Lonchura striata: one gene and its partners. The protein of the gene in region 1 purifies or fractionates together with the protein of each later gene. This does not show direct contact. Links are inferred from orthologs where the notes say so. Each region holds a gene or a part of one and is shown on either strand. Other genes may lie near its edges.

The links.
Region 2: the proteins of RASSF1 (region 1) and MAP1S purify together in Homo sapiens (affinity purification with mass spectrometry; 4 studies listed by BioGRID and IntAct, counting the BioPlex papers as one, with this or other methods). This does not show direct contact. The link is inferred for Lonchura striata from reciprocal best matches to the Homo sapiens genes RASSF1 and MAP1S.
Region 3: the proteins of RASSF1 (region 1) and MAP1B purify together in Homo sapiens (affinity purification with mass spectrometry; 3 studies listed by BioGRID and IntAct, counting the BioPlex papers as one, with this or other methods). This does not show direct contact. The link is inferred for Lonchura striata from reciprocal best matches to the Homo sapiens genes RASSF1 and MAP1B.
Region 4: the proteins of RASSF1 (region 1) and SAV1 purify together in Homo sapiens (affinity purification with western blotting; 3 studies listed by BioGRID, with this or other methods). This does not show direct contact. The link is inferred for Lonchura striata from reciprocal best matches to the Homo sapiens genes RASSF1 and SAV1.

Annotation. Positions count from the first base shown.
Region 1 is NC_134614.1:8,485,076-8,492,167, reverse strand, and holds the start of RASSF1 (ras association domain-containing protein 1), read right to left. Parts: upstream 3,015-7,092; coding exon 2,765-3,014; intron 1,817-2,764; coding exon 1,695-1,816; intron 1-1,694. Other genes in the region: ZMYND10 (zinc finger MYND domain-containing protein 10), read right to left, coding at 4,284-4,368, 5,006-5,131, 5,326-5,447. UniProt on the Homo sapiens protein: Potential tumor suppressor. Required for death receptor-dependent apoptosis. Mediates activation of STK3/MST2 and STK4/MST1 during Fas-induced apoptosis by preventing their dephosphorylation.
Region 2 is NC_134630.1:7,898,818-7,906,163, reverse strand, and holds the start of MAP1S (microtubule-associated protein 1S), read left to right. Parts: upstream 1-4,331; coding exon 4,332-4,470; intron 4,471-5,538; coding exon 5,539-5,640; intron 5,641-6,221; coding exon 6,222-6,304; intron 6,305-6,404; coding exon 6,405-6,545; intron 6,546-7,048; coding exon 7,049-7,346. UniProt on the Homo sapiens protein: Microtubule-associated protein that mediates aggregation of mitochondria resulting in cell death and genomic destruction (MAGD). Plays a role in anchoring the microtubule organizing center to the centrosomes. Binds to DNA. Plays a role in apoptosis.
Region 3 is NC_134642.1:15,334,146-15,340,969, forward strand, and holds the start of MAP1B (microtubule-associated protein 1B), read right to left. Parts: upstream 3,022-6,824; 5' UTR 3,007-3,021; coding exon 2,829-3,006; intron 1-2,828. UniProt on the Homo sapiens protein: Facilitates tyrosination of alpha-tubulin in neuronal microtubules. Phosphorylated MAP1B is required for proper microtubule dynamics and plays a role in the cytoskeletal changes that accompany neuronal differentiation and neurite extension.
Region 4 is NC_134608.1:2,199,272-2,206,194, forward strand, and holds the start of SAV1 (protein salvador homolog 1), read right to left. Parts: upstream 3,010-6,923; 5' UTR 2,907-3,009; coding exon 2,813-2,906; intron 1,434-2,812; coding exon 1,002-1,433; intron 1-1,001. UniProt on the Homo sapiens protein: Regulator of STK3/MST2 and STK4/MST1 in the Hippo signaling pathway which plays a pivotal role in organ size control and tumor suppression by restricting proliferation and promoting apoptosis.

The DNA of each region.
Region 1 (7,092 bases):
GGCCGCCGGCACCCCACTTCAAAGTGCTGGCCCCGCACACGGGGGACCGAGCGTCCTGGCTCGGCGTCGCTGCCACCGGCACCCGCTAATGAGTATTGACGCGGGGCCGCGGAGCTGCCACACAGCGCTGCACATGTCCCCACGGCACTGAGGGGTCCCCAGTCCCGACAGCCGCCCCACAGCATGCAGGCACTGCAGGACCCTGCAGGATGGGGACAGCTGTGAAGCTGCTCGGGGAGTTTGTCCCGGCACCCCCAAAACTCCAGCAGCTCCAGCCCTGAGGGGACCTTGGCATGCCCATGCCAGGCAGCGAAACTCCACTCGCCCCACATCCAACCGGACAGGGCCACCGTGTCCCCCGGCACGGCCATGCTCGACCCCACTCCTGCCCCACAGCAGGGCCAAGCTCACCTCTAAGAAAAGACCACCGACACCTCTAGTTTCCCCACGCACCAAGCCCACCCTCGCCTGCTCCCCAGCACCCAGCCGGGGGAATGTGCTCCCGATGACGTCACCCGTGTCCCCCATTACGTCACGGCCCGGGACCGACCTGGCGGCGGCGCGGGCGGCGGCCGAGGGAGGTGCGGGCGGTGTAGAAGAGCTCGGGCTCGGAGTCGGAGTCCTCCTGGCTGCAGTAGCCGCTGCTGGCCGTGCTGCCCCCCGTGCCCCCCGCGCCGCCCCGCCGCAGAGCCAACGCCGCCGCCCCGCAGCCCCCGGGCCCGCCGGCCCCCGGCCCGGCCACGGGCACGGCGGCGGTGGCGGTGGGCACGGCCCGGCCCGGCCGCCCCGCGGCCCCGCCGGGGCGGCGAGCACACGGGCACGCCCGGCCTCGCGCCAGCCCGACCGGCCCCCGGGCCGGGGCCCGGCTCGCTCCGCTCCCGGCTCGGCTCAGCCCGCTCCCGGTCCTTGGCCCGGCTCCGCTCAGCCCGGCCCTTGGCCCGGCTCGGCTCCGCTCGGTCCCTATGGCGTCTCGGCTCCGCCCGGTCGCACTCTCAGTCCCGGCTCAGCTTCGCCCGGTCCCTATCACCGTCCCGCTCGGCTCCGCCCGGCGTCTATCGCGGTCCCGTCCTCGGCTCGGCTCAGACCGGTCCCTATCGCGCTCCTGTCCCGGCTCGGTTCGGCGCGGCGTCTACCGCGCCCTGCCCGCTCCCGGCTCAGCGCGGTCCCCCCCGCCCCGCCCCGGCCGCGGGGTGACGCGGGCCGGGGGCGGCGCGGCGGCCCCGCTTCCGGCGGTGACTTCACCCGCGCCCGCCCGGACACGGCTGAGTCCCGGCTGCGCTCGGCTCGGCTCGGGCACGGTGTGGTGCGGGCGGCGCGGCACGGGCAGGACACAGCACAGCCTGGCTTGGCACAGCATAGCCCGACATGGCACAACATGGCATGGCACGACCTTACTCAGCCCAGACCAGCGCAGTGCAGTCCATCAAGGCTTGGCACAGCCCAACGTGGCACAGCATAGCCTGGCATGGTGCAGCCTGGCATGGCACAGCCTGGCATGCTAGCTGCACTCAGCTCAGCTAAGCCCAGCCAAGCCCAGCTCAGCAAGGCTTGGCACAGCCTGGCATGGCACAGCCTGGCATGCCATGCCATGGCCTCACATGGCACAGCCCAGCTCAGCCCCCCCGAGCCCAGCGTAGCCCCCAGTTTGCCACTCCCTGCGCAAGCTCTCCCTCACAGACAGGCACAGGCCTTACCACGTTGGTGTCCTTCTCCAGCACCTGCTCATTGCCATCGTCCTCATCACCAGCACCTGGGGGGCCACCGCAGTCCAGCTGCACCAGGGCCCGGCACCGGTAGTGGCAGGTGAAGCTGCAGTCTGGGGACAGAGACAGAAGCAGGGTCACCACTGTGCACAGCCTGGGGGTCAGGGCACTGGCTGGGACAAGGGCTGGCACACGGTGACAGCATCAGCTGTCTGCTCATGCTGTGCCCAGGGGCTCAGGGAGATAGCACTGTGCCATGTCTTGGCCAGGGCTGCTGTGTTCCCTGCTGTGCTGGCCAGCATGGTGTGCTCAGTGCCTGGTACTGGGCTGCCCAGTGTGGGTGTCTAGTGCTGGGATTCCCAGTGGCCAGTGTGGGTACCCCATGCTGGAATACCTGGTACCTGGTGCAGGTACCCAGTACAGGGATGCATGGTGCCGTGTGAGGGTATTCTGTATGGGGCTGCCAGTGCCTGGTGTGGGTGCCCGATCCAGGGGTGTCCAGTGTTTGGTGGCAACTCCTGGTGCCCAGAAGCCCAGTGCCTGCTGCAGCTGCCCAGAATGGTGATGCCCAACTTAATGGAAATGCCTGGCACCAGGATGCCTGGTGGGGGTAATTATTATTGAGGTGCCCTGTGCTGGGATGTTTGGTGCCTGGTGCGGGATGCCTGTGCCCAGTGGTGGGGCAGCCGGTGCACAGTGAGGGGGCCCACTACCAGAGGGTGGGGGCCCGTGGGGGTGCCCGATGCCCCACCCGCTGGTGGTGGGAGTGTCCGGTGGCAGCATGTCCGGTGCTGGGAAACTCATGCCCACCAGTGGGACAGCCGGTGCTCAGCGGGGCTGCCTACTACCAGGATGCTCGGTGTCCTGTAGAGGTGGCCGGTTGGTGGGATGCCCGGTGGGAACGCCCAGTGGTGAGTGTGCCCGGTGGTGGGGATGCCCGGTGCTCGCTGGGGGTGCCCGGTGCTGAGGAAGCCGAGCGGCGGGACGCCCGGAGCCTGGCGGGGGTGCGGGCGTGCCCGGCGGCGGGGGTGCGGGGGCCCGGGGCGCGGCGCGGTACTCACGGCGGCACTGGAGGCTCTTCCTGCCGCCGCCCCAGACGAAGTCCCCGCAGAGATCGCACCAGGTGTGCAGCCCGCGGCGCCGCGGCTCGAAGCGGTGCCCGGCGCCCGGTGCCGCCGTCAGCCGCGGGTCAGGGTGCGCCCCGGGGCCGGGCCGGCGGGCCGGGCTGATGCGCAGCGCGTTGGCCCGTTCCAGGCGGCCCCGGCCCGGCCGCGGCTCCGGCTGCAGCTCCCGCAGCTCGATGAGCTCCATGGCCCGGCGGCCGCGGGCGCAGCTCGGCGGCGGGGCGGGGGCCGGCACCGGGCCGGGGCCGGGGCCGGGGCGGGGATCGGGAGGGGCCGCCTCGATCGGGCACTGCGGGGAAACTGAGGCAGGAAAGATGGGGCTCAATGCCCCGGGCTCCCGATCGCCAACTCCAGTCCCGGCGAGCCCGGCGGGGCGGGCTGGAGGCGGGGATGAGGTTCCCGGAGCCGCCGCGGAGGAAGGGGGGCCCGCTGCAGCCGCTCCGCTCTCTCTGCCTCTTCTCGCAGGAGGAGGACAAACTGTGCTCCCTGCCTCAGTTTCCCAGTGAGGAAGGGGCTGGAAGCACCCCTGGCGGCGGGTGAGAAGCAGACCGAGAGCTACGGAGAGCGCTCCTGCTCCCGGTGGCTGCAGCCCTGGACGTGCAGCACGGGTTTGGGGTGAGGAGTTTATTGAGCTCCGGGCGCGGGCTGCTCAGCCGCGGCTGCAGCTGGACGAGATGGTTTCCTGCCTGCTGCCGTGGCTCCTGCAGCAGCAGCCTTGGTGCAAAGCTTATTTTTATGTGTCGGATTCTCCAGTGCCCCATCAGAAAAAGGACATGGCCAACCTTTCCCAGCTGTGCTCAGACCAAGGCTCCAGCCCTTTGGCAGCAGCTGCTGACCAGTGAGATGCACCCCAGGGTATCCCCACCAGTAGAACCTGTTTACTGGTAATGCTGGTGGGCAGAGGACCAAGCCCTTGGTGCTAACATCACATCAAGAGCGAGGAAATGGGGTGAATTGTCCCTGCAAGGTGGGAGATGACAAATACCCAAGAAACTCTTTCTCACAGCAAGATGCTCGTGCAAACCACATCCTCTGCTCCCCACGCTGCTCTAACAATGGTGAGACGGCACAGAAGCCTTCTCACTCCCTTCCCTCCCAGATGCAGTAAGGTAACCATACCCTCACAATTTTTTTCGGGTTCTCAGGGATTTCTGTTGTTGCAGAGAAAATGGACACACGCCTCCCACTTTGTGGAAAGGAGGGGACGAAGCAGTTTGTTACGTTCAGCTAGGAGAGAAAACACAGAAGCCAAGCAACTGTGGGATGCACAAGGAGGTTTATTGGAGAAGGCAGAATGGTGAGGTGGTGGGAGAGGAGAGGATAGCCCAGGCTTGTGCTGCCTGCAGCTGGGAGCAGGCAGAAGGGGCCCTTGCCAGCTTCTTTCCCGCTCTGGGCTACACACCAGGGGAACCTCCGACTCTGTGAGCCATGGGCCAGTTGCCAGACACCACTTTTCTTACAGACCATCCACACTCCTTGGCACCTCAGCCATCAGGTTGCAGGCAGGCTTGTGCTTCTGCCAGTGCTGCACCTGGCATGCCCTGCAGAGGGGGAAGCTGCTGTCAGGGGCACTGGAGTCATATCCATCTCTGTTGGCAAAGCAGCAAGAAGGACAAACTCCATGACCGCACCCTCTGTGAGCTGGGAGAGAGCTGATACAGCCCAGCATTAGACTAAGAGGGGGTGGATGCAGCCCCAGTGCTGGGGGTTAAGAAGGTTTAACGACAGACCTTGCCAGATGGTCCAGGACCAGAGATTTAATTTACTGCCACCGTCCCAGCTGCCACATCCCAGCTTGTCACCTGCACCCATGGGGTCATGGGTGCTTTCCTACTTGTGCCCCACCAAGGTGGGAGGAGGAAGACAGTGTCACCATGGAAAACCCAGCCTGTCACTGCTGTTGCTGTGGGCAGAGGCAGCTCAGCACCTCAGCAACATAACCTTCACCAACACCTCCTCCACCAGCAGCCCAGCACATCAGCCTCCCCACAAAATTCACAGAGGTACATGGCCAGCAGAGAGCTGGTGGTGCTGAGCAGTGGTGGGACCCCTGGCTTTGCTTGGCCCTCCCACAGAATTCTCCAGTGAGACCCTGTGGTGCTCTGGGGAGTACTGAGGAGCTGCAGGGAGGCCCAGGGGGGCTGCAGGGGTCCCAAGGGGGTGGCAGGGCTCCCTTACCGTGTGCAGTACCACTCGTTCCGGCAGCGAGAGCAGCGCTTGGTTGCTTCTACACCACACACCCTGCAACGGGGCTTGTCAGGGGCCAGAGCCTCCATCATGTCCAGGCTGTAGGTCTGTGCCCACCTGTGCAGGCAGAGAGGGATGAGGCTGCTTACAGGGAATGGCCGACAGTGAGCTATCCCTGTTGCACCCTGCCACTGAGGGGACATCTCCAGCCAGTGCCACAGGACCCCTCTGTCCTCCCAGTGACGAGCTCCAGCTCTGCTCATGGGGATACTGGTTCCACTGGGCACTCTGCAAACCTGCTCCAGCCTCACCTGCCTGCCTGCAGCTTCAGCTCCTCCTCAGTGGGGCTGAAAGCGTGCTTCACCTGGTGCTTGGCAATGGCCTCCCACTTCCCTGAGTTTTTCTTGAGGATATGGTCCCAGATGACAGGAACCTGGTGGGAGATGCAGTGCAAGAAGAAGAGGTGCTAACAGCCTGAAAAGGATGCTGTAATCTGGGGAGAAGGCAGCCAGCCCTATGCACAAGACGCATGGTCCTCCAGGAGGGCAGGCAGAGGTGGTCAGGGTATGCTTTTGGGTACATGGAGGGGATGGATCCACCCTCCAGTGGGCATTGAGATGAAACAAGGACCTCTTTGGGGTCCAGCTGGGAGTAAGTGTTCAGCCTTGAGGCCTGTGCTGCTGAGAAGAAAGCCCTGAGACCTCAGCACCCTGCGTGTGGCAGCAGAGTGAACCCCATGCTCCAGAGCCGTTTGTCTGAGCAGATTTTTCCGCTCGTCATTTCCCTGAAGATGAACACCCGGGGAAGGGCTGGCCGGCCAGAAGGAAACATCCCAGCCAAGAGCAGCGTGCTGAGTTCGGCTCTGGAGGGGACCGTGCAGCTTCAAACAGCGCTGCCTTCTCCAGCAGAGTAAAAATAGCCAAGGAAGGGGAGGAGGCTGCTCTGGAAGCAGCCAAATGGAAAAAGTCCGTTCCTTAGCTTGGCTCAGCAACAAGGAGTGAGTTCAGCACTCTCTGGGCAGAGCAGGGAGCCCATATCTGTGCTTCCCGCTGCCTCCCTGTGCCTGCCCCCAGGCTCAGCCCTAGCCCTTGGCAGGGGCAGGCACAAAAGCAGAGCTATGGAGAAGGGCAGCAGCCTGACTGAGGGCTACAGGAGGTCCCCAGCATGCAGCTGCTTGTCACTGTGCCACCAACACGCTGGCAGTCAAGCATGGGGTGTGAATCCATGTCCACCTTGCTCTGATGCCAGCCCCAGCCCCAACAGCTCAGCTTGCCATTATGCAGCTTCCCCAGCTCCAGCTCCCAGCCTGGGCCGTGTCTCCAGCTCAGCCACAGGCACCTCTGACAGGGCACATCACCCTCCTCCCAGGCCATGCCGCCAGCTGCGATGGGGACAGCGTGCTCCCATTGGGGACAGCGTGCTGCCACTGGGGACAGCCCAGACGGCCACTGCCCAACAGACCCATCTCCTCCAGGAAGCAGTGTGGGAGCCTCTGGCAGTGGGGAAGAGCCCCTCTGCTCCCAGCTTTTCTCAGCAGCCTCTTTGCAGATCTGCCCCCATACTCAGTTTCTCCCCTCAGCTCACAAGAAGGCAGTAGAAACACATAAAAACACTTTTCTCCAGAGATTACCACTGCATGGATTAAAGCCCCCAAGAACCTCTTTGCTGTTTAAAGACTTTCATGGCCTAACTCCCAAAGGCCCAGACACCAGCTGGGACCAGTTTAACTCCAGGCTCTATCACCAGACCATGATGCCCCTCTGTACACAGTGTGCCAAGCAGCCTCAGACCAGGGCTGTAAAAGGGTACTTCCCTGGGGAGTCCAGAATTCAACATGAAAACACTGATAGATGTCAAATGAAGAGTTAATTGTCAAAACAAGCCAGTGCCTATGTCTGCCCCATGCAGCTGCCATCCCAGGGGCTCAGTGTGACCTGGAGAGCTGTTTATAACCCAGCATTTATGCTTTTATGCTTGGCCACTGCAGGGCAGGACAAGGCTCTCACGTCAGCCACAGGCAGCTTTGCTGGCAAAAAGGGTGTAACTGAAATGGGTACTTGGCTGTTTTTCCAGGGCAT
Region 2 (7,346 bases), on another chromosome or scaffold:
TCTTAACGTATTTAGGATATATTTCTATACAAAGATTTCTAATTTTATTTTTATTCATAATTCTTATCATAAAACCCCTACCTACTACCAAATAGAAAATAAAATCCCCTTTATTTTAAACCATATTTAAATATTTTTTTATTTCTATTTTTGATTTTTACAAGTACTTATATATTCTATCACAATATATTGAAGTACTATATTTCGATATATAAAATTTATGACAATGTGTTATAATGAGACATATTTAGTAAAATATTCATTATGTACTATATTGATTCCTATTATTTTGTATTTTTTCTATTTATATTTATATATCCACATATTTATACATCTCTATATGGATATTTTGTTTATATTTATGGTCTATATTTATATGTGTTTATATAACATATAAAACACTCTATATCAAACAATATAAAATCTAATATTAATGGATAATATTATTTATGTTACATGTGTTACTTATATGTATTCCACTTAAATTTCAAATTGAAGTTTTTTGTTCCCATTTTCATATTTATGCATTTGTTTTGTTTCATTAGAGTTATAGTTAAAACACTGCAGTTATAATCTAATTCCTAAAAATAAAATGCCAAAACAGGCAGCATCAAATTCCCACCAATACCGTCCAAAAAATTCCGAAAGGCTCCACCAGCCAACCAACTACCAGCAAAAAAAACCGCACTACACTCCTTTCACTGGCAGCTCTTATCACGTCACAAAAACGAAACATTTAAAAAAACCCTATAGAAACCCACACAGCAAATCACAAAAAATACTAAAAAAACAAGCACCAACTAACTTACTATACTCCAAACCATACAAGAGACCCTGAAAGTTTCTTAAAAAAAACAAAATTCTACCACTACACTGACTCATAAAGAGAACCCAATGCTCTATAAAATTAACTAAAAAACCCCACCAAATAATTACCAATATAAAAAAATCAAAACCACAAAGAAAGGAAAAACTCACCACCCAAATAAAATCACTACCTATAAAGATCTACCATAGAAATGCCCATGTTCCCAAAAAATTTATTTTATAAAAATAAAACTAATAAAAAACAACAAATACATCCAACTACAAAAATCATATTAACAACAACAAAATAATTATTCCTAACTCAATAAACCCATAATGCCTCAAACCATCAAAACACAAATACCACCTAGAAATAAACAAAGAGAAATGTAATCACAAACAATATCTCCCAAATTCTCTGGGACAATAAAACATTCTCGGCAATTAAATAAGACAAATGAATAAAACCCCTATAACATAATAAACAAGAATGCAATTATCAATATTTAAAAAACCTCATTAATTAACTACAGGACAATACCTCAAACCAACCAAAACAAACACAAGGCACTCGCGCTAATAAACGCCTCCACAACCGAATTCAAAACCTACCCTCTACTCCCTGCTCTGACCCATAAAAGCCATGGTAAACCGATCAAAAAGAAATCCAACAACACTCAACCCAAAAAAACCCTTGTCATGAGCACCTGAAGCAAAAACCGTAACAACCAAGAAGTCCCCACGGCCCTTCTCATGCACCAGCTACGAACAAAAGAAAACAATCGCATAAATTCCTCAAAACCATCTCAAAACCACCTCAGCAAGGAAGGCTGGAAAATGCGAAGCTGCGCTCCCGGCACCGGTCCATCGGTGACGGAGGTGTGAGTACCCCGAGTCGAATCCCTAGAGCACAAAAGCTTACAATTGCACCAGAAACTGAAACCTGAGCAAAACCAACTGCTTCTGTCCGCTGCTCACCTGGCACACTGGGCCTTGACTGCTGCTGTCTGCCTGGACCTCCTAAAAATAAAGGCAAAGAACACTGCTGTGACACAGTCACCATTGAGGCTGCTCCTGCAAATGCAAACAATGACTGACCTGCTCATGGCAACACCCTCACCCAGGACTGGGGCCCTTGGCCACAGATTTGAACTGTCTGCATCTGAAAGGAAGTCAGGACTAGTGTCAAACGGCTGCAGGACAACTTAGCATCACCAAACATGTTATGTCAATCTCCCCATATAATCCAGAGCCCAACTACACCCTGCATAACAAATTTCAAGTCCCCAGGACTTGTGCTATTACAGGCTATGCAGCAGGGCAGAGCAGCTGTGGGACAAATACGTGCAGACACCCGTGACACAGGACAGGGAGAGAGAGCTTTTGAGGAGAAGAAAGGACCGAGAGACCCAAAGAACACAGAGTGCACCAGAGACAAGTGACAGGACACACACCAGAACTGCTCTGCCCTGAGCACCTCAGCACTGTGGTCAAAACAGACACTTTCCCTTTAGGTGGCCTAAGGGGACACTCCTTGCACATCCCCATCTCCAAAACTGACTCAAAAACCCCTCCTGGGGAGTCCCAACCCAGCACCTCTCTTCCATCCCCTCTGTGGGTTGTAACCCTGCACTTATCTTGCACATATCAGGGGATGAAAATCCCCATCGGTGCAGAAGGAAGACACTGCTCCCATCTCCAGGCCCTGGCCCTGACTTATCTTTTGGATGACTGGTGATGTGAATCCACGTTGGACCTGAAATGAGTCTGGCTCAGAGGAGATAGCCTGTTAGCCTCTTAGTCTCCTAAAATAAAGAACGGGAAAATCAACGGTTGTGTTTCGTGTTATGTGGGCTGAATCTCAGCAAGTCACCTACTTATCCTCTCCTGAGTGTGCCTGGGTGCAGATCCAGAGCCCCTGGGTGTCCCGGGAATCGGGGGTGGCGGATCCAGAGCCCCTGGGTGTCCCGGGAATCGGGGGTGGCGGATCCAGAGCCTCTGGGTGTCCCGGGAATCGCGGGTGGCGGATGCGGGGTGTCCCGGGAATCACGGGTGGCGGATCCAGAGCCCCTGGGTGTCCCGGGAATCGGGGGTGACGGATCCAGAGCCCCTGGGTGTCCCGGGAATCGGGGGTGGCAGATGCGGGGTGTCCCGGGAATAGCGGGTGACGGATGCAGAGCCCCTGGGTGTCCCGGGAATAGCGGGTGACGGATGCGGGGTGTCCCGGGAATCGGGGGTGGCGGATGCAGAGCCCCTGGGTGTCCCGGGAATCGGGGGTGGCGGATGCAGAGCCCCTGGGTGTCCCGGGAATCGGGGGCGCTCCGGTGCAGGTGGAGGCGCTCCGGGAGGTGCTGGACGAGCTGGGCAGGCGGGACCGCCGGCGCCGGAGCTGGGTGCCCTGGGTACGGCGGGGCTGGGGGTGGCGGGAGCTCGCCCTGGGGGTCCGGGGGAGACCCCAAACCCCCTTTGGTGGGGGTCCGCGCCGGGGCTGGCGGTGCCGCCCCGCAGTGCGCGGTGCGGCGCGGGGCACGCACCGGGAAGCTCTGCAGCTGCCCCCGCGGCACCTCCTGCATCCTCTTCATCCTCAAGTGCTCCTGAGGGAGCGGGGACAGCGGGGGACAGCGGGGGACAGCGGGGGACACCCGCCTGCGGCCCCAGCCCCGTCCCCGCGCCGGGATGGACCCGCACAGCACCGCCGCTGCCCCGGCCCGCCGGCTGGCGATGTCCGCGGACACATTAAACCATTGGATCCACGCCTGCCGCCTGCTTTTTGGGGGAATTTTGAGGTTCCCAGCCCCCTCTGCCGCTGGGCAGGGTCCTGAGGGAGGGGTGGGGTCCCCATCCTGCCCCCCTTCCTGTCGGGAATCTGAGGTTGGGGCAGGAATGAGGGATAGGAGTGGGAATCTCATCCCGTTGTGGGAGAGGGGAAGCAGGAATGGGAGCGCTGCGGGGACGGGCACGGAGCTGAGTCCTGGATCCTCCCGTGGTCACGGCACCGGGGCGGATGGATGGAGAATCCGCGGGCAGCGGGATGCGGGGGGGCTCGTACAGCCCGGTCCGGACGCATCCCGCATCCAGAATTCCAAATCTCGATCTAGAATCCCGCATCCAGAATTCCAAATCTCGATCTAGAATCCCGCATCCCCATCCAGAATCTCGGATCCCCATCCATGGATCCCGCATTCCCATCCATGATCCCGCATCCAGAATCCTGGATCCCCACCCATGATCCAGCATCCAGAATCTCGTATCTCCATCCAGAATCCCTCATCCCCACCCATGATCCCGCATCCCCATCCCCGATCCCGCATCCCCATCCATAGCCCCCCAACTCGCGCGGCCCAGGCGGGCCCCACACTCTGCCCCACCCGCGCGTTGCCGTTTTAAGAACCCTCTCTCCTCCCTCCGCCCGCCCTCCCGCCTCCCCTGCGGCGCCTCCTATTGGCTGGCAGTGACATCATGGGTGTGGCATGGCCGCGGTGACGCAGGGGGCGTGGCCGGCGGGCGGGTGGGGGGCGCCGAAGATGGCGGCGGCTCCGGCGGCACCGGCGGCTGCGGCGGCTCCGGCCGCGGGGCCGCGCCGCTTCTCGCTGCTCGCCATCGTGGGCGGCGGCTGCCACCGCCCCGGCCTCCGGGCCGCCGCCCTGCAGCAGCTGGAGCGAGGTGAGACCGCATGATGCTCCGGGGGACCCGCCCGCCTCCACCGGAGGAGCCCCCCGAGGGGATGCCCCCGAGGCACCGCGGCGTGATCGGGCTGCCCCGTTCCTCCCCAACCCCCCGGGATTCGCTCCTTTGGCTTCTCAGGGTTTGCGCCCTGAAATTCCCAGGATTTGCCCCATTTCCTGCCCCCCACCCCCGGCCGGATCTGCGCCCTCGCGTTCGCCCTTGTAAAATCGCAGATCTGCCTCTTTTTGCTGCCCCAAAATCCTCGGGGGTCTGAAACCTCAAGCTCTTCCTTCCTCTCAAGACCCCCAGAATTTGCTCCTCCTGAATTTGTCCGCCCCCCAAGGATCCGCCCCTAAATGCCCAGGATTTACCCCAGTATTGCAGGGACCCCCCCCAGTCCAGCCCCCACACCCCCCTCTGAGCAGTCCCGGATTTGGGGGGGGGTCTCAGACCCCGGAACATCCCAGCGGGGCAGATCCCAAAGCCAGGATGGGAGGGACATTCCCAGCCCTGCTCCTTTGTCCCCTCACTGTGAGCCTGCCCCAAACCTCATCAAAACCACCCCAAAACGGCCACAAACCCTTGTGCAACCCCGGGCCGGTTACACCATCCCCCACCCATTCTCCACCCATTACCCAGAGCACCCTGGGCCACCCAAATTTTGGGGAATAGGCTCCCAAAATCCCTTCTGGGAAGTCCCGAAGGGCTGTTCAGGTGCTGCACCTGTCCCTGGTGCTGGCAGGTAGCGCCAAATCTTTTAATTCCCTAATTGGCACCTTTGGAGGTGTTGGCAGAGCTGCTCGTGCCCCGGGGGGTCAGGATTTGGGATTTGGCAGAGCCGGAGCTGCCGTGAGTCACGGCACAAGGAGCTCACCTGCTGGGCAGGTGTCGGCACAGGTGGGCTTGGAGGCACCCCAAAAACACCTTAGGGTGGGATTTTTGGGGGGGCTTTAGGGAGGATTTTATGGGGTCAGCCCTAGCTGGCACTGTGTGGGTTTTGGGGATGGCGCTGGCGGATTCTGAGCCCCCAGTCCCAAATTTTTAGTTAGCGTTTTTCCCCCACAGGGATCCGCTCGTGGGACATCGACCTCACCTGCTGTAACCTGGACGAGCAGCTGAAGCTCTTTGTGTCCCGGCACTCGGCCACCTTCTCCAGCATTGTCAAAGGTAAAATATGGGATAAAAACCAGGAAGAATGGGGAGAATGTCTCCTGGATGCCAGGGAAGGGTGGGAAAGGGGGTGTTGGAATCAGGGGTGCCCCCTTCCCATTCCCTTCTCCCGGGTTTTGTGGGAACAGGCCCGACTTTGTGTCCCTCCCATCCAAACCCCGTGATCCCCCACGTGAGGAGCCACATCCTTCTCCCACCCTGGGGCAGGATGGGATTTTCCATGGAGCGATGGAAATGGGAAAATGGAGCTGAGGCTGCCCCAGTGTCTTTTCCCCCCACATCCCACCCCCGGCTGGGTCCCCGCTGGGTGTTTCCCTGCTTACAGCGGGAAATCAACCCCAAACCTGCCCCTGGAGCACCCAGAGCATTTTGGGGGAGTCTCCCCCACCTGTCCCCGCTGCTGTTCCCTCCCCTTCCGGGCAGGAAGGACACGGGAAATGTGTCCCCCGGCCCCCACGGTGTCTGGCAGCGGGACCGTGCCTGTCCCTCTTCCTCCAGAAAACCGGGCAGCACCCGGCCATGCCACCCCCACGGGGACAAACCGGGGGGGCATGGCTGTCACCACTCCATCCCCGCAGGTCAGCGGACCCTCCACCACCGCGGTGACGTGCTGGAGACCCTGGTGCTGCTCAACCCTTCTGACAAATCGCTGTGCGATGAGGTGAGCTGGGGCCGCTGCTGCGGGACGGGTTCGGTGCTGTCCCCGCGGTGTCCCCTCTGTCCTGACACGGTGTCCCCTCTGTCTGTCCTGGTGTCCCCAGCTGCGGAACCTCATCACGGACGTGTCGCAGCACAAGCTGCTGGTGTTTGCGGGGCCCTGTGTGGAGGACACCGGGGAGATGATGCTGCAGACCGGCTGCTTCTCCCTGCGGGATTTCATCCAGATCTTCACGGACAAGGAGGTGCGGGGAGGGGGATGATCCTGGGGATTTAGGGAGGAGATGTTGGGAGTCTTGTGGGGCAGATCGTGGGGATTTAGGGGTGCAGATCCAGGGAGTTTTGGAGTGCAGATCCAGGGAGTTTTGGAGTGCAGATCCAGGGGATTTAGGGGTGCAGATCCTGGGAGATTTGGGGTGCAGATCCTGGGGATTAAGGGGTGCAGCTCCTGGGAGTTTTGGGGTGCGGATCATGGGGATTTAGGGGGGCAGATCCTCAGCTGGATCCACAGCTGCAGCCAGGGTGAGGGATCAGGGAAAGCCCCACCTTGGGAGCCACCCACCCCCCAGGACCCTGCCCAGCAGCAGAGGGTGCTGGCACCCCAAAATCCCTCCAGAAAGCAGGCAGCAGGCTTGGATCCAATGGTTTAATGTGTCCCTGGACACCTCCCACCCCCACGGGTCCATCCTGGTGGGGGGTGGGGGTGACCTCGGTGCCCCCTCCTACCTGAAGCTGCCGCTCTGTGCAGGTGGGCGAGATCCTGAGCTCTGCAGACCCCTCGGCCAAGGCCAGGCTGACTATCAGCTGCCCTGATTTTGGGGAGTGGAGGGACTCGGGCTTGGAGCACCACAACCTGCAGGACTTCATCGAGCTGCGCTACAACCCCGGCTGCGTGCTGCCGCAGATGGAGGGGCTGGAGGAGTTCATGGAGTACCTGTCGGAGTCTCTGGAGCCCCAGTCCCCCTTTGACCTACTGGAGCCCCCCACCATGGTGGGATTCCTGAAGCTTTCCAAACCCTGCTGCTACATCTTCCCAGGCGGGAGAG
Region 3 (6,824 bases), on another chromosome or scaffold:
TGACATTGATCACAAAGCTGAAATACACTGAATGAATGAGTGCTGAACTTCAAGAAGCTTGAAGAAAAACAATTCCCTGGCCTATGACACCAAGCTTGGGCAGAGAAACTACAATCCTTTCTAGAGGTCAGTTGACATGAACTATGATTTATCAACACTGCTAATGAAAGGACTCATCCACCATCCCTAGCTGCTTTAGATGCGATCCTAATTTGCTGTAGGGATAAGGTGCTGATTAGATGTAGTCAAGATTGCTCAATCATTGCCTGATTGAGCCAGGCAATGTCCAAAATACAGGACTCAACACAAAATAAATAGGGGGAAAAAAAATAGGGGATAAAAGCCTTTATGCCCTATGCACGCAGTAGTCCTAGAAGCTGAAGGTGGAATTTGGGTAGACTATCTAAAATATGCAACTGCATGATTCAGCAATCTGGATGCAAAAATTATGCATGCGTATTATAGCGGAGTAAAATGTATTAAATGAATGATACCACTAAATCAGGTTTTCGGTGGAACAAAGATAAACATGGAACTAAAATCCAAGGTCAATCCAATGATGGCTTAGAAATGTGGACATATCTGCTATAAACATGGCTGAACTGGAGCTATTTCCTTCTTTCTGCAGTCTTAGAAATGCAATGCCACTAGACACAGGACTAATAAGACAGCAGGGAGGGCACACCCAGTAGCATCTGCTAAATCAGTGGAAAAATCTTGAAGCTTCTTCTTCACTCCCCTCTTCTCTTTTGGTGGACTGTGGGTTGTTGGAGAATTGCCCCCTTAGCAAAGTCACATCCAAAATGTAATTACTGAAAATGCGTCTTGCCACACCATTCCCTCCCCATGATATATTAAGAAATGACTCTGCATTCCACCAGGTTGCGTAGCATCACACCACTGATGTGTTATCAGCAGATGTTTTCTTTGACACGTTGCTCTGCAGTTTGGCGCATGAATCCACAGTTTTCAGTGATGGTACTCAGGAGATGTACCAGAGAAGACAGTAAGGCAGAGTTATGGAGAACCAAAATGCATTTAAAGCTCTATTGAGAATAAAGGCAGCAAGAAGTATTTTTTTCCCCAGACTACAGCAGACTTTCCAAAGAGAAAATTATTAGCTGAGCCTGCAATTGCCTCACATAGACAAAGCGTCAGACTCCCACTTTTATTTATCCAGAAAAATGTACCTAAAAATTTCACCAAGGAGTTTTCTTAGGAGGCAAAAATCTCAATCAAATGGTCTAATACTAGAAGCATCAAGGTCACTTCTAATCCAAAATGATTAATTAAAAGGTCAAACACTCCCTCTGAACACCTAAACCTGTAAGTGGGTGTTATGCTTAGTGGCAGGAGATAGCAGTAATTGAGCTATGCAGCAGTGACTGTACAATAGGAGATTCAAGAAGGGACTGGAGAGCATTTCTTCAGAGGGAGGATATTAGTTGTCTTGAGGGAGTAAATTTTACCAATTTGCTTTATAATCTTTGACAATTTAATTAAAATGCAGCCTGTTCTTTTCTGACACAACTGAAAATTAGATAGAGTTAAGGAAGTGCGATGCTGAAGAAGCTCTGAATGACAAAGCACCTGCCTCAGTAGCTCTCCCCAAGAGACAATGGTAGCAATAAAGATAGAACAGTTTATGATGGAAATAGTTAGCTGAGATGAGGATGCCTTTTACCTCAAACTGTAATGAAAAGGAATCCAGAGAAATAAGCAACTAAAGCAACAATGGTTGAGAAAGCAACAATAGAGAGACACAGATGAAGTCCTAGCTGGACTGCTGAACCACACCTACATGACAAGGCTGCTACCAATTCCTCGTTCCGGGATCTCTTCTTCACTCTTAACAATGGCAGTTCCATAAATCTTTGTTTTCACCAGCCCAGAACAAAAAATACATATTATAAAATCAGCTATCAACTGAGTTTAAGTAACTGTAAGGTCCGGCAATAATTTTCTTCATGCTTTATTCCACTGATACCGTTTATTTTTTTTTTTTTTTTGTTTTTGTTTTTGTTTTTTTTTTCTCCTCTCTGCATATACACTGAAATCTATTGTATCAAAAACCACAACGAAAACTTATAAAACTGTCATTTCATTTGCAATACCACGCTGCATCGCCGTCTTAAGAAAAGGACAAATAAACGCCGAGTCAGAGGAGCCCGCAGTCGGACAATAACGAGGCTGAGCCCTCGGGTAACAGCCTTGTTACTCATAAAGGTTTTCTTTATTGGAATATATACGCGTATATAGAACTTAGGTCCTGAAAAATTGTCCAGACGACAGAAAAGTCCCAGCACCCAAAGTTAGACACAAAGGCGCGGCTGCGCTCCCGCCCGCGCAGCCTCTGCTGCCGAGAGGGAAAACGCCCCGAACCCGCGGGCTTAGCGCGGCGGTGGGGGACGGGGAACTGCGGGCGGCAGCCGCCTCGCAGCCCCAGCCCAGCCCATCCACCCCATCCCCAGCCGCCCTTTGTCCGCCCCGAGCAGCCACCGGGACCGCAGTGCGGACCGTGCCACGCCCACCCCGGTGTCTCCGGGCAGACGGGCTCGGCGGCGGGCGCTGCGCTGCCGCCGGCCCCTCCGCCCAGCGATGGCGGGGACGGGGCTCGCTGCGGCTTTCCGCAGCGCCCGCACCCCGCGGCGGAGCATGGGTGGGTGGGCGATTGCGGCGGGACCCCCGGGGAATAAAGAGCCGAAGACGGCGGCTAGGCGGGATGATGTCGGGGGCTATCCCGGCTCCCGGCCGCGCCCAGGGAGGGGCAGGGCGCCGGCGGGGGTGTCGCGGCGCTGCTTGCGGCACCCCGGCTCCCGCCGCCTCACCTCGCTCGATATTGGTGATGGCCCGCCGCAGGTGCTCCTCGGTCACCAGCTCGCCGATGACCACCAGCAGGTAGAACTTGCTGTCTAGGAAGCGGTGGGAGAGACTGGGCGAGGTGGAGGTCGGGTTGGGGATGCTGCAGGAGGGCTCCGAGTCCACTTCCACCACTACGGTGGCCATCGCCTCCGCCCCGCGGCTCCGGGGCGCTGAGCTCGGCGGCGGCTCCGCGGGCGGCAAGGAGGGAGTGAGGGCGGGTGGGGAGGCGGCGGCGCTTTTATACGGAGACGGTGCAGGGCAGGGACCTGGTGAGGAGGAGGAGGAGGAAGGGGGGGAGCCGGCGCATCCTCCGCGCCGCCGCCGCCTTTCCAGCATCCACGGCTGATGTCATCTGCGGCAAATCCTCCCCGCGGCGGCCCCCGGAAGCAGGAAGGACGCGGGGGGCGAACAACGCCCCGAGGGGACGCCAAGGACTGCGCCCCGCGCCTGGCTCCCGGCCCGGCCGTGCGACCCCCGAGCCCACTCCCCTCTTGTCCCTTGCTCCCCGTGCCCGTTCGGGCCGTCACCCCGAGGCCCGTCCCTTAAAACAGGGCGATGAGGAGCCGCAGGTGATGGCCTGGCAGACCTGCGGGGCTCATGTGGCAAAGCCAGCATCGCGCCTCCTGCAGCGGTCCAGAACCGGATGAAAAAGCAGTGCCACTGCCCAAAGCCAGTTGTCCTCTCCTACGTCTTGCTGTACTACTGCCGCAAAATTTGAGTCATACTGAAACACACCCTCACCCAGCAATCTAAATATTCTTGCTAACTTTTTAAATTTAAAAGCAGTTAATTTGATAAGATACTTCACACATAGTTCTTCTGCACATATTCAATGCCCACGGATATATGACACCAGAAAAACACTAGTTTTGGACAACATGCTGAAGCCCGTAGTCTTAGCTTATTCAAAACTGCAGAAATTCAAGAGCTTTAATAAGTAATGTTGACCAGGCTCAAGCATCTCCATGGGGCAATGATAGCAGAAAACTTATACAATGACAGAACCAAAGGCTTAATTTCTTTTCTCATAGATATTAGTATCTACATCCCAATACTCAGTGATAGCAACCTCTGAAAAGTATGTTACTTGCTCCTAATGATGGAGAAGTCAAATCTGTCTGGGATGTTCCTCTCACTTTACTGACATAGCCAAGCCACTCGTTTACACTTAAGCCTCTTGTTTATATGGTTCAAGTGATGTGGGATAAATTTCACTGTGACATAGGAAAGGATATAAACTTTTATAGCTTTTTTTTTAAGATAACCTCTTGTCCCTGACTGAGAAGACACCTCCTCTGTCTGCAGCTTCTTACAGTGCTGGATGTGCAGATTCTCTGCCTACTGCTTAGGAGCACAGTGCTTGCCTGGATGAACGAGTATATCAGCCTCATCTTCTCTGTATTTTGTTCCAGGGCACAGTGGACTAATTCACATGCATTTCAGGTTGTCACTACTAAGTTTTTTCTGTCTTACTAGCTTAGAGGCTACAGTTTCAACCCACAAAGGTTAGAACAGGATCATTATAAGTGCTGGTCCATAGTGTCTATAGCACCTAATGGTTTTGATATGAACACTTCCTCTGCATAAATACAGCACTCAGAGTCTTGGCTTACACAGTGTGGTGTGTTTGGATGTTGCATCCAAAGTAGACTTTTCCTGAGCTGCCGTTATTCTAAAGGTTGTGGAGTGCAGACAAGCATTTTCACAGCCATGTCAGGCGGCTGAGATGACACAGTGGTAAAGAGCAGCAGTGCTCATTCTTCACTGAAGCTGACACTGCTGATAGAACAAATGCAATAGTGTAGGTGCAGAAGAACTAGCAGCACTTTTAAGGTTTGCAAGGTATTCAAAGGTGCAGTGTGTTCCTCGTGGAATACCCCTGCTAATCTGGGCCCCACTGTGACTTTGCTGTTTCCTGTCATAGGATGGTGTAGATGCCTACTTAGAAATAATATCTATCCCCTATAGCCTTTTCCTATATGAACCCCTTCCTAATAATTTATTATAATTATAGTTACCTTCAAGACTTGCCATGTGGTACCCACTGGAGAATGCCAGCTTCAGGCTTCTGTCACTGCAGTCTGTAGTTTTGGGCATGCCTTTATGTCAATCACCAGCAAGAATAGCTAGTCTCTCAAGCATGGATGGAGCTCGCCAAGGGGTCTTGTCAACTGGTTGCAGAACAGACAGATGCTGGTTCCTGGACATAAAGGTAAAATAGTTACTTGCCTCACAAGTACAGCAGGTTAAATGTGATAGAGAAATGCACACCAGTACTCAAAAGACACTGTATACACTTTTAAGCACTTTCTTATTTTAAGTAAAAATGGAAACATCCATAGCTGGAAAGATGCCAGTGAGTTTGAAAAGCAAGAGCCAAAAAGAATGCATTTTACCAGAGAATAAAATGCTTACATACAGGTAGGTGATACAGTTACATATGAAATAGGCTGCTCAGGTAGTCCTCTATTTCACATTGCAGTGTAAAATAACATGCAGTTAGAAAGTGGTATGATAAAAGATGAACTGTTACAGTCAAACTGTCTTGTGATGGGTGATGCATCACCCATTAAAGCCCTAAGGGCAAAAGATTGTCTTTGGAAAGAAATGGTCTTGTGGTAAACTCTTCAAAGGATGCCGACCTCTGGCTTTGTCTATTCATAAGCTTATGCTGCCTCATCAGAGATGGAAGCTAGACAAGAAAGGTGCTTTATGCTCTGGAACATATCTCTGAGGAAGCTGCAGGGTCCCAGCTCCATAGCCACTTTTCCACACTGTGTCTTGCCCTGTCAGTATCTCAATCAGGTAGATTAGTTCGTCATCATCTGGAAACTAATTTATATTCTGCAACATGGAGCATCAGGTCCACTGCTGAGTGAAATGTGGAGATATGCTGCACAAAGCTGACTTAGTGTCCTGTGACACTAATCACTGTCTGAGAGTGATACCACCTGCCTATCTGCAGCTAAATTACATAGATATGCCCCTTCAGTAGAAGAAACTGCACCATTCATGGACTGTGGGATATATCTTACTGTTTCAAAGAGACAGTGATTGAGATCTGCACCTGTCTGGCTTTTGATCTTCTTGGTTTGATTTTGTTGTTTTATTATGTTCAATACCAAATTGGAGTCCCACAGCTGAATGTGGTCAAATAGTATTTGCAAAGCTGTATTTTTTCAATGCTGTATTTTTAAAAGACACAGTTTAAATAAAGTGCTTGAAGTTTAAAACATGCTTCTTGGTAGTATGTGCCATTTGTTACCCACTAATATTCAAGTTTCATTCAGGTCCAAATTTCAAATTTTAGATGATGTTTCAGTGATGTACAAACCTTTAGACTGGCCCTTTGTCTCAGGTCAAGTGTCATCCCTACCATAAAAGAAATACGTATCCATATGGATTGCTTCAGATCACTTGACATACTGAGTGGGGAACAAGAGGTTGGTGAGCAGCACCGTGGAGGTGGACCTGGGGTTGCATTTGAGTCAGGCAGCCAGGAGGGCCAGCCGTGTCCTGGGGGCATCAGGCACAGCATGGCCAGATGGACAAGGGAGGGGATTGTCCTGCTCTGCCCTGCCCTGGGGCGGCCTCACCTCAAGTGCTGGGGGCAGTTCTGGGTGCCACAGTAAAAGTGAGATACAAAACTATTGGAGAGCATCCAAAGGAGGGCCATGAGGATGATGAAGATCCTTGAGGGGAGCTGCTTATAGGGAGCAGCTGAAGTCACTTGGTCTGTTCAGCCTGGAGAAGACTGGGGAGATCTCAGTGCAGTTACAGCTTCCTCATGATGGGGGACAGACACTGATCTCTGTGGTGACCAGTGACAAGACCCAAGGGAATTGCATGAAGTTGTGTTAGGGAAGGTTTAGGCTGGGTATTCAAAAAAGTTTCTTCACCCAGAGGGTGGCTGGGTACTGGAACAGGCTCCCCAGGGAAATGGTCACAGCACCAGCCTGACA
Region 4 (6,923 bases), on another chromosome or scaffold:
GGCTGGCATTTCCATTTTTCATGGAAGTGTTTCTTTGATGAAGAAGGCACTGACAGGTTCTAATCCCACACATGAGGTCAGCAGCATTAAAAGCTGATGTTCTTCCTGGCAGATTTCTTTTTCTAGACAGGAGATTCATTTTATTAGCCACTAATTACTACTTTGTTCACAGATTACAAGTGACAATGTATTTCATATTGAAGGGATGTTATTTACAGGTTTGAAATGTTCCAAACTCCTTCTTGGGCATAGTTTTTATAATATCAGAGTCAAATATTTCAGAAAAGTAGTATGTAATGGATTTTTCTTTTTTATGTTGTTTTGTTTTAGGAAACAAAGGCAAGTTCCAGTGAAACTAAGAGGGGAACAGGCATATTTACAAACAATTTTAAAAGCTGAACGAAAGGAGTCAAGGATTAAGGAGTCAATGCCAACACTAATTAGATGCCAATTTACTAATTACAAAAAACAGTCATTCTTCCCTATGACTATTTGTAAGGAATTATTTCTATTATTGAAGTCAAATTCAAACAATGAAATGAAGTAATAAGACGATAGTTAAAATGTAATGCTAATAACAATAACAATTAATATTCATATTAACATTAATAATAATAATAATAATGTAATGTTGTAATTTAGAGTTGTTGGTTATTCTCTACATTATGAAAATAGGAGATGTCCCCCAACAAATAAAATTCCCTGCTAGCCAGCAAGTGATGTGTAGAGAAGATGTACATACGCCTGGCATTAAAAACCCCAAAACTTGCTTGGCCTTACTCCATTTATTTAAGAAAATAATCCTGGTTTAAGTCTATTTTTCTGTTCTGGATATCTGTGACCAAACCCTCAATTCCAATTACCCAAATCCCAGAAATGCCATGAAAAAGCAGCTCTGTCCCACACACCTCAGACACAATCCTGATCATCCAAACTCCCCAAACTGCACCCAAACTCTCACCAAAACCGGAATTTTAACAAAAGCAACAACGAATCCTTACCTGAAGTGTGCCTCCCATGATTCTGGGACATCCTCTGGAAAAGATCGCTGCTGTGCTCGTAATACCTGTAGTCCTCGTGCAGGCGTCTCCTCTGGGCATCGTAGAAATGATCGTAGTAATAGCCGCGGGCTCCGGCGTCGCCGTTCTCCAGCCCGGGGGCGGCTTCTGCCAGGAAGGACTGCGAGGAGGAGCCGTATTCCCTGGGCACCTCCGCCAAGCCCCTGGCCAGGTAGGAAGGTGCGGACAGTCTGTTGCTTTCTCGCCTCATTATCTCGTGGGGCGGCCTCTGCACCGCAGTTCGGAGGAAGCTCTGGTTGCGGGACACGATCCCATCGCCGCCGGGCGCGTAGGCAGAGGATGCGGAGTCGGGAGGGCAGATATCGGTTCGTCGTGGAATGGTCGGACCGTGGCGGATAAAGGAAGGCATCAGATCTGCCAGAGAGCACGGAGGAGAGGTGAGAACTCTGCCGGAGCAGCCGCGGTGATTTACACACTCAAACTGGGGGAATTCTCGTGCAGGAGCCGCTAACGCCTGTGCAAATGTGGTGGTAACGCTGCAGAGAATCCTGGCGCACACACCACACCAGGAACCCGCTGAGCATTCTGCCAGTAAAACTGCAGCTGCAGTAAACAAACCAACCCCAAACCCATCAAAAAAACCACACAAGAAAAGAACAAAACACCAAACCACCCACACTGTGCTGTGGCTGTATCAGTCAGGGTTCGTATCTCTCAGAAAAAATCCACATATCTTGGCTACTGCTTCTTTGGGAATGTTGTCCTTACAAACTGGGAATGACAAGATATTAATGCCCACAGGAATCCAAGATAGAATTCACGCTGCCCCCACTAATCCCAAAGTCACAAAGTTCAGCCAGAAAAACGATGTCATTCCATAAGCATTAAGTTCTCAAATTATCAGGGAGATAGTTCACTTTCTCCTTTAGAATTTCATTGCCTCCCTCCAGTATGTGAAACATTCCTCCTCTCCCTACTTTTACTTTCAACACGATATAAATACATAGATTCCTTCCAGATAAATCAATATAGATGATAATTTTCATTTAGAACGACGTTACTCCTATTGTCAATTACTTTTTATTCATAAACTCTTACAGCTTACGGTTAAAATCTGGTGCACCCCAGGTGTCAGCAGTCAATTTATTGAGCACACAGACCCATTTCAGCGTCGGGTTGTGTTTCAAGACCAACAAAACCAAACCTTGAGCACACTTTCGGTGTGCATTTGTGGTGTCCAGCCTCAGGAGCGCAGGGCTGCGGCATCAGAGCCAGGGGCAGCCCAGGTTGAGCCACGGGCAGGAGCTGCAGCATTTGTTTCCGCAGGGATTTTATTTTACGATATTTTACCTGTCTGGCGGGACAGTTATCTCATTGACAATGCCCAGGTGGGGCAGCGGGCTCATGGATGGACGGAACCCAGAACAACTCGGGCTGGCCGCCCGTGCCGCAGGCACCTTCCCCATCCCGCACACCCTGAGAGCTCTTGGCTTCATTTCACACAACTCTGAACCCCTGAGGCCTGCTGAAACAGCCACCGAGAAAATCACAAACCCCACCAAGAAAACGCTGGAACGAGCAGGGCTCCCTTTGAAGCTTCCTTTGAGCTTTAACTTCCTTTCAGCTTTCACCTCCCAGGGCTCGTAGCAGCACTAAGCACACATTTACAGGGAGCAATAACCCTTACACGCAGCCACAGGGGTAACTCCCCCTCACGCCCGGCCGCGCAGCTCCGGGGCCCGCCGCGCCGCACACGAAGGCCGGGATGGGCCCCCCGAGCCCCCGACACTCACTCCGCAGCAGCGGGCTCGTCTCCTTCTTCACGTACTTCCCCTGCACCTCGCCCGGCTTGGAGAGCTCCGTCCGCGTCTTCTTCCGCGACAGCATCCCACCTCCCGGCCCGCTGCCACCGCCCGCATGCCCGGCGCCGCTCCCCGCTCCGAAGCCGCCCCCGGGGGCCGAGCCGGGACCGGGAGCGGGGTTGGGATGGGGACGGGGACGGGGATCGGGACGGGGCCGGGGTCGCTGAGGGGACGCGGCGGGCGCGCGGGGCCTTGTGGGAAGGCGGCGGCCGCCGCCCTCCGGCACGGCCGCGGGGCAGCGCGGGAGCGGCCGCAGCGCCCCCGCGCGGCAGGGAGGCCGCGGCACAGGCGGAGCGGGGCAGCGCGGGAGCGGCCGCAGCGCCCCCGCGCGGCAGGGAGGGCGCGGCACAGGCGGAGCGGCGGGGACGGAGCGGGCGGGAGGAGAGAAATCCTGGGATGAGAAATCCTGGGATGACAGAAATCCTGGAATGACAGAAATCCTGGGATGAGAAATCCTGGGAGGAGAGACAGCCCGGAGTGAGAGAAATCCTGGGAGGAGACAGCCCGGAGTGAGAGAAATCCTGGGATGAGAAATCCTGGAATGACAGAAATCCTGGGAGGAGAGAAACACCGGAATGAGTGAAATCCTGGAATAATGACAGAAATCACAGAATAATGACAGAAATCCCAGAATAACAGAAATCCCGGGATGACAGAAATCCTGGAATGAGAGAAATCCGGGGATGACAGAAATCCCGGAGTGAGAGAAATCCTGGAGTGAGAGAAATCCCAGAATGACAGAAATCCTGGGATGACAGAAATCCCGGAGTGAGAGAAATCCTGGAATAATGACAGACATCCCGGAATGACAGAAATCCTGGGATGACAGAAATCCTGGAATGAGAGAAATCCCTGAATGAGTGAAATCCTGGAATAATGACAGAAATCCCAGAATAACAGAAATCTTGGAATGAGAGAAATCCTGAGATGACAGAAATCCCGGAATGAGTGAAATCCCGGAATAATGACAGAAATCCCAGAATAACAGAAATCCCGGGATGACAGAAATTCCGGGATGAGAGAAATCCTGGAATGAGAGAAATCCGGGAATAATGACAAAAATCCCGGAATGACAGAAATCCCGGAGTGACAGAAATCCTGGAATGACAGAAACCCCGGAATGAGAGAAATCCTGGAATGACAGAAATCCTGGGATGACAGAAATCCCGGAGTGAGAGAAATCCTGGGATGACAGAAATCCCGGAGTGACAGAAATCCTGGAATAATGACAGACATCCCGGGATGACAGAAATCCCGGAATGACAGAAATCCTGGGATGACAGAAACACCGGAATGAGTGAAATCCCGGAGTGAGAGAAATCCCGGAATGACAGAAATCCCGGAGTGAGAGAAATCCTGGGATGACAGAAATCCTGGAATGAGAGAAATCCCGGGATGACAGAAACACCGGAATGAGTGAAATCCTGGAATAATGACAGAAATCCCGGAGTAATAACAGAAATCCCAGAATAACAGAAATCCCGGGATGACAAAAATCCTGGAATGAGAGAAATCCTGGGATGACAGAAGTCCCGGAGTGAGAGAAATCCTGGAATGACGGAAATCCCAGAATGAGAGAAATCCTGGGATGACAGAAATCCCGGAATGAGTGAAATCCCGGAATAATGACAGAAATCCCAGAATAATGACAGAAATCCCAGAATAACAGAAATCCCAGGATGACAGAAATTCCGGGATGAGAGAAATCCTGGAATGAGAGAAATCCAGGAATAATGACAAAAATCCCGGAATGAGAGAAATCTCGGAGTGACAGAAATCCTGGAATGACAGAAATCCCAGAATGAGAGAAATCCTGGAATAATGACAGAAACCCCGGGATGACAGAGCGACAGAACCCCACAGTGATGGAATCATGGAATCTCCGAGGCTGGAAAAGCTCTCCGGGATCAACGAGTCCAAAGCCGTGCCCGGTGCCCACCTTGTCCCCAGAGCGCTCAGTGCCACATCCCGGCCTTCCTGGGCACCTCCAGGGATGGGCAGCCCCTTCTGCTACCTGACAACGCTTTCTGTGGAGAAATTTTCTCTGGTATCCCATTTAAACCTCCCCTAGAGCAACTTGAGGCCATTTCTCCTGTCCTTGTTCCCTGGAGCAGATCCCAAATCCCCCCCGGCTGTCCCCTCCTGGCAGGAGCTGTGAGAGCCACAAAGTCCCCTGAGCCTCCTTTGCTCCAGGCTCAGCCCCTTCCCAGCTCCTCAGGAACTCTCCATTCCCTTCCCAGCTCCCTCAGGAACTCTCCATTCCCTTCCCAGCTCCTCGGGAACTCTCCAGCCCCTTCCAGCTCCTCGGGAACTCTCCAGCCCCTTCCCAGCTCCCTCAGGAACTCTCCATTCCCTTCCCAGCTCCTCGGGAACTCTCCAGCCCCTTCCAGCTCCTCGGGAACTCTCCAGCCCCTTCCCAGCTCCTCAGGAACTCTCCATTCCCTTCCCAGCTCCCTCAGGAACTCTCCAGCCCCTTCCCAGCTCCCTCAGGAACTCTCCAGTCCCTTCCCAGCTCCTCAGGAACTCTCCATTCCCTTCCCAGCTCCTCAGGAACTCTCCATTCCCTTCCCAGCTCCTCAGGAACTCTCCATTCCCTTCCCAGCTCCTCAGGAACTCTCCATTCCCTTCCCAGCTCCCTCAGGAACTCTCCATTCCCTTCCCAGCTCCTCAGGAACTCTCCAGCCTCTTCCCAGCTCCTCAGGAACTCTCCATTCCCTTCCCTTCCCAGCTCCCTCAGGAACTCTCCATTCCCTTCCCGGCTCCCTCAGGAACTCTCCAGCCCCTTCCCGGCTCCTCAGGAACTCTCCATTCCCTTCCCAGCTCCTCAGGAACTCTCCAGCCCCTTCCCAGCTCCTCAGGAACTCTCCAGCCCCTTCCCAGCTCCTCAGGGATTCTCCAGCCCCTTCCCAGCTCCTCAGGAACTCTCCAGCCCCTTCCCAGCTCCCTCAGGAACTCTCCATTCCCTTCCCAGCTCCTCAGGAACTCTCCATTCCCTTCCCGGCTCCTCAGGAACTCTCCATTCCCTTCCCAGCTCTGTTCCCTTCCCTGGACATCCTCCAGCCCCTCGGTGTTTTTTGTCATGAGGAGCCCAGAACTAGGCACAGTTCTGTACCCCGTCCCCCTGCCTGACCAGGAGCAGGGACCCACGCTGGTCCCCTCCTGCTTTTCCCACCCCAGGACTGTGTGAAAATCTTGCAACGAGCCCCCAATACTTCCCATATAAAGGCGAAGAGTAGGGATGCAACTTCAGCTGAACAGAAGCCAAGGTGTGTTCACTACCTGTCAGCTTTTTACACTTCAATGTCATACTTTTGTAATGCAAAAACTACTTTTTCACAGCTGTCAAGCCATCCTTTTTATTATTGTGCATGCCTTTGATAAACTTGCAGATACTATTTGAAGTGTTTACAACATCCATGGGAAGAGAGGTGGTGGCTGTCCCTGGATCCCTGGAAGTGTCCAAGGTCAGCTTGGACAGGGCTTAGAACAACCTTGGGATAATGGAAGGTGTCCCTGCCATGGCAGGGGTGGGAATGGATGGGCTTTAGGTCCCTCCCAACCCAAATTATTCTATTATTTTCATGCTGGATAAAAACCAAAAAGACACAAGTATGCATTGTACATTAATGTATTTTTTATACTCATTATAAATAATGTGTCAGTTGCTTCCTCTCTCGGCTTTACATGATGTTCTAAGGACAATATATTACACCGGAACAAAACAAACTCAATAGAAAAAAAATAATATACATTTGTTTTCCTTTATACAGAAGTTGTTTGTCATAAAATGACACCAAACAGGAGATTGGACAGGTAAATGATGGAAAACCTGAGTGACAGGGATGGCATGTGCTGGAAGTAAACAAAAAGATTTTACTCTTGATCAATCCAGACTCTTCCCCCTGCTGTAACACATAACCTGGCTAAAACCAAATATGTTAAAATCCTGTTTCTTTCCTCAACCAGAATTCAAACAACTCAATTTTTCCTTGTATTTAAAGTACTACTTGGAGCATGTGCCACCATGTAGACTTTTAAATCA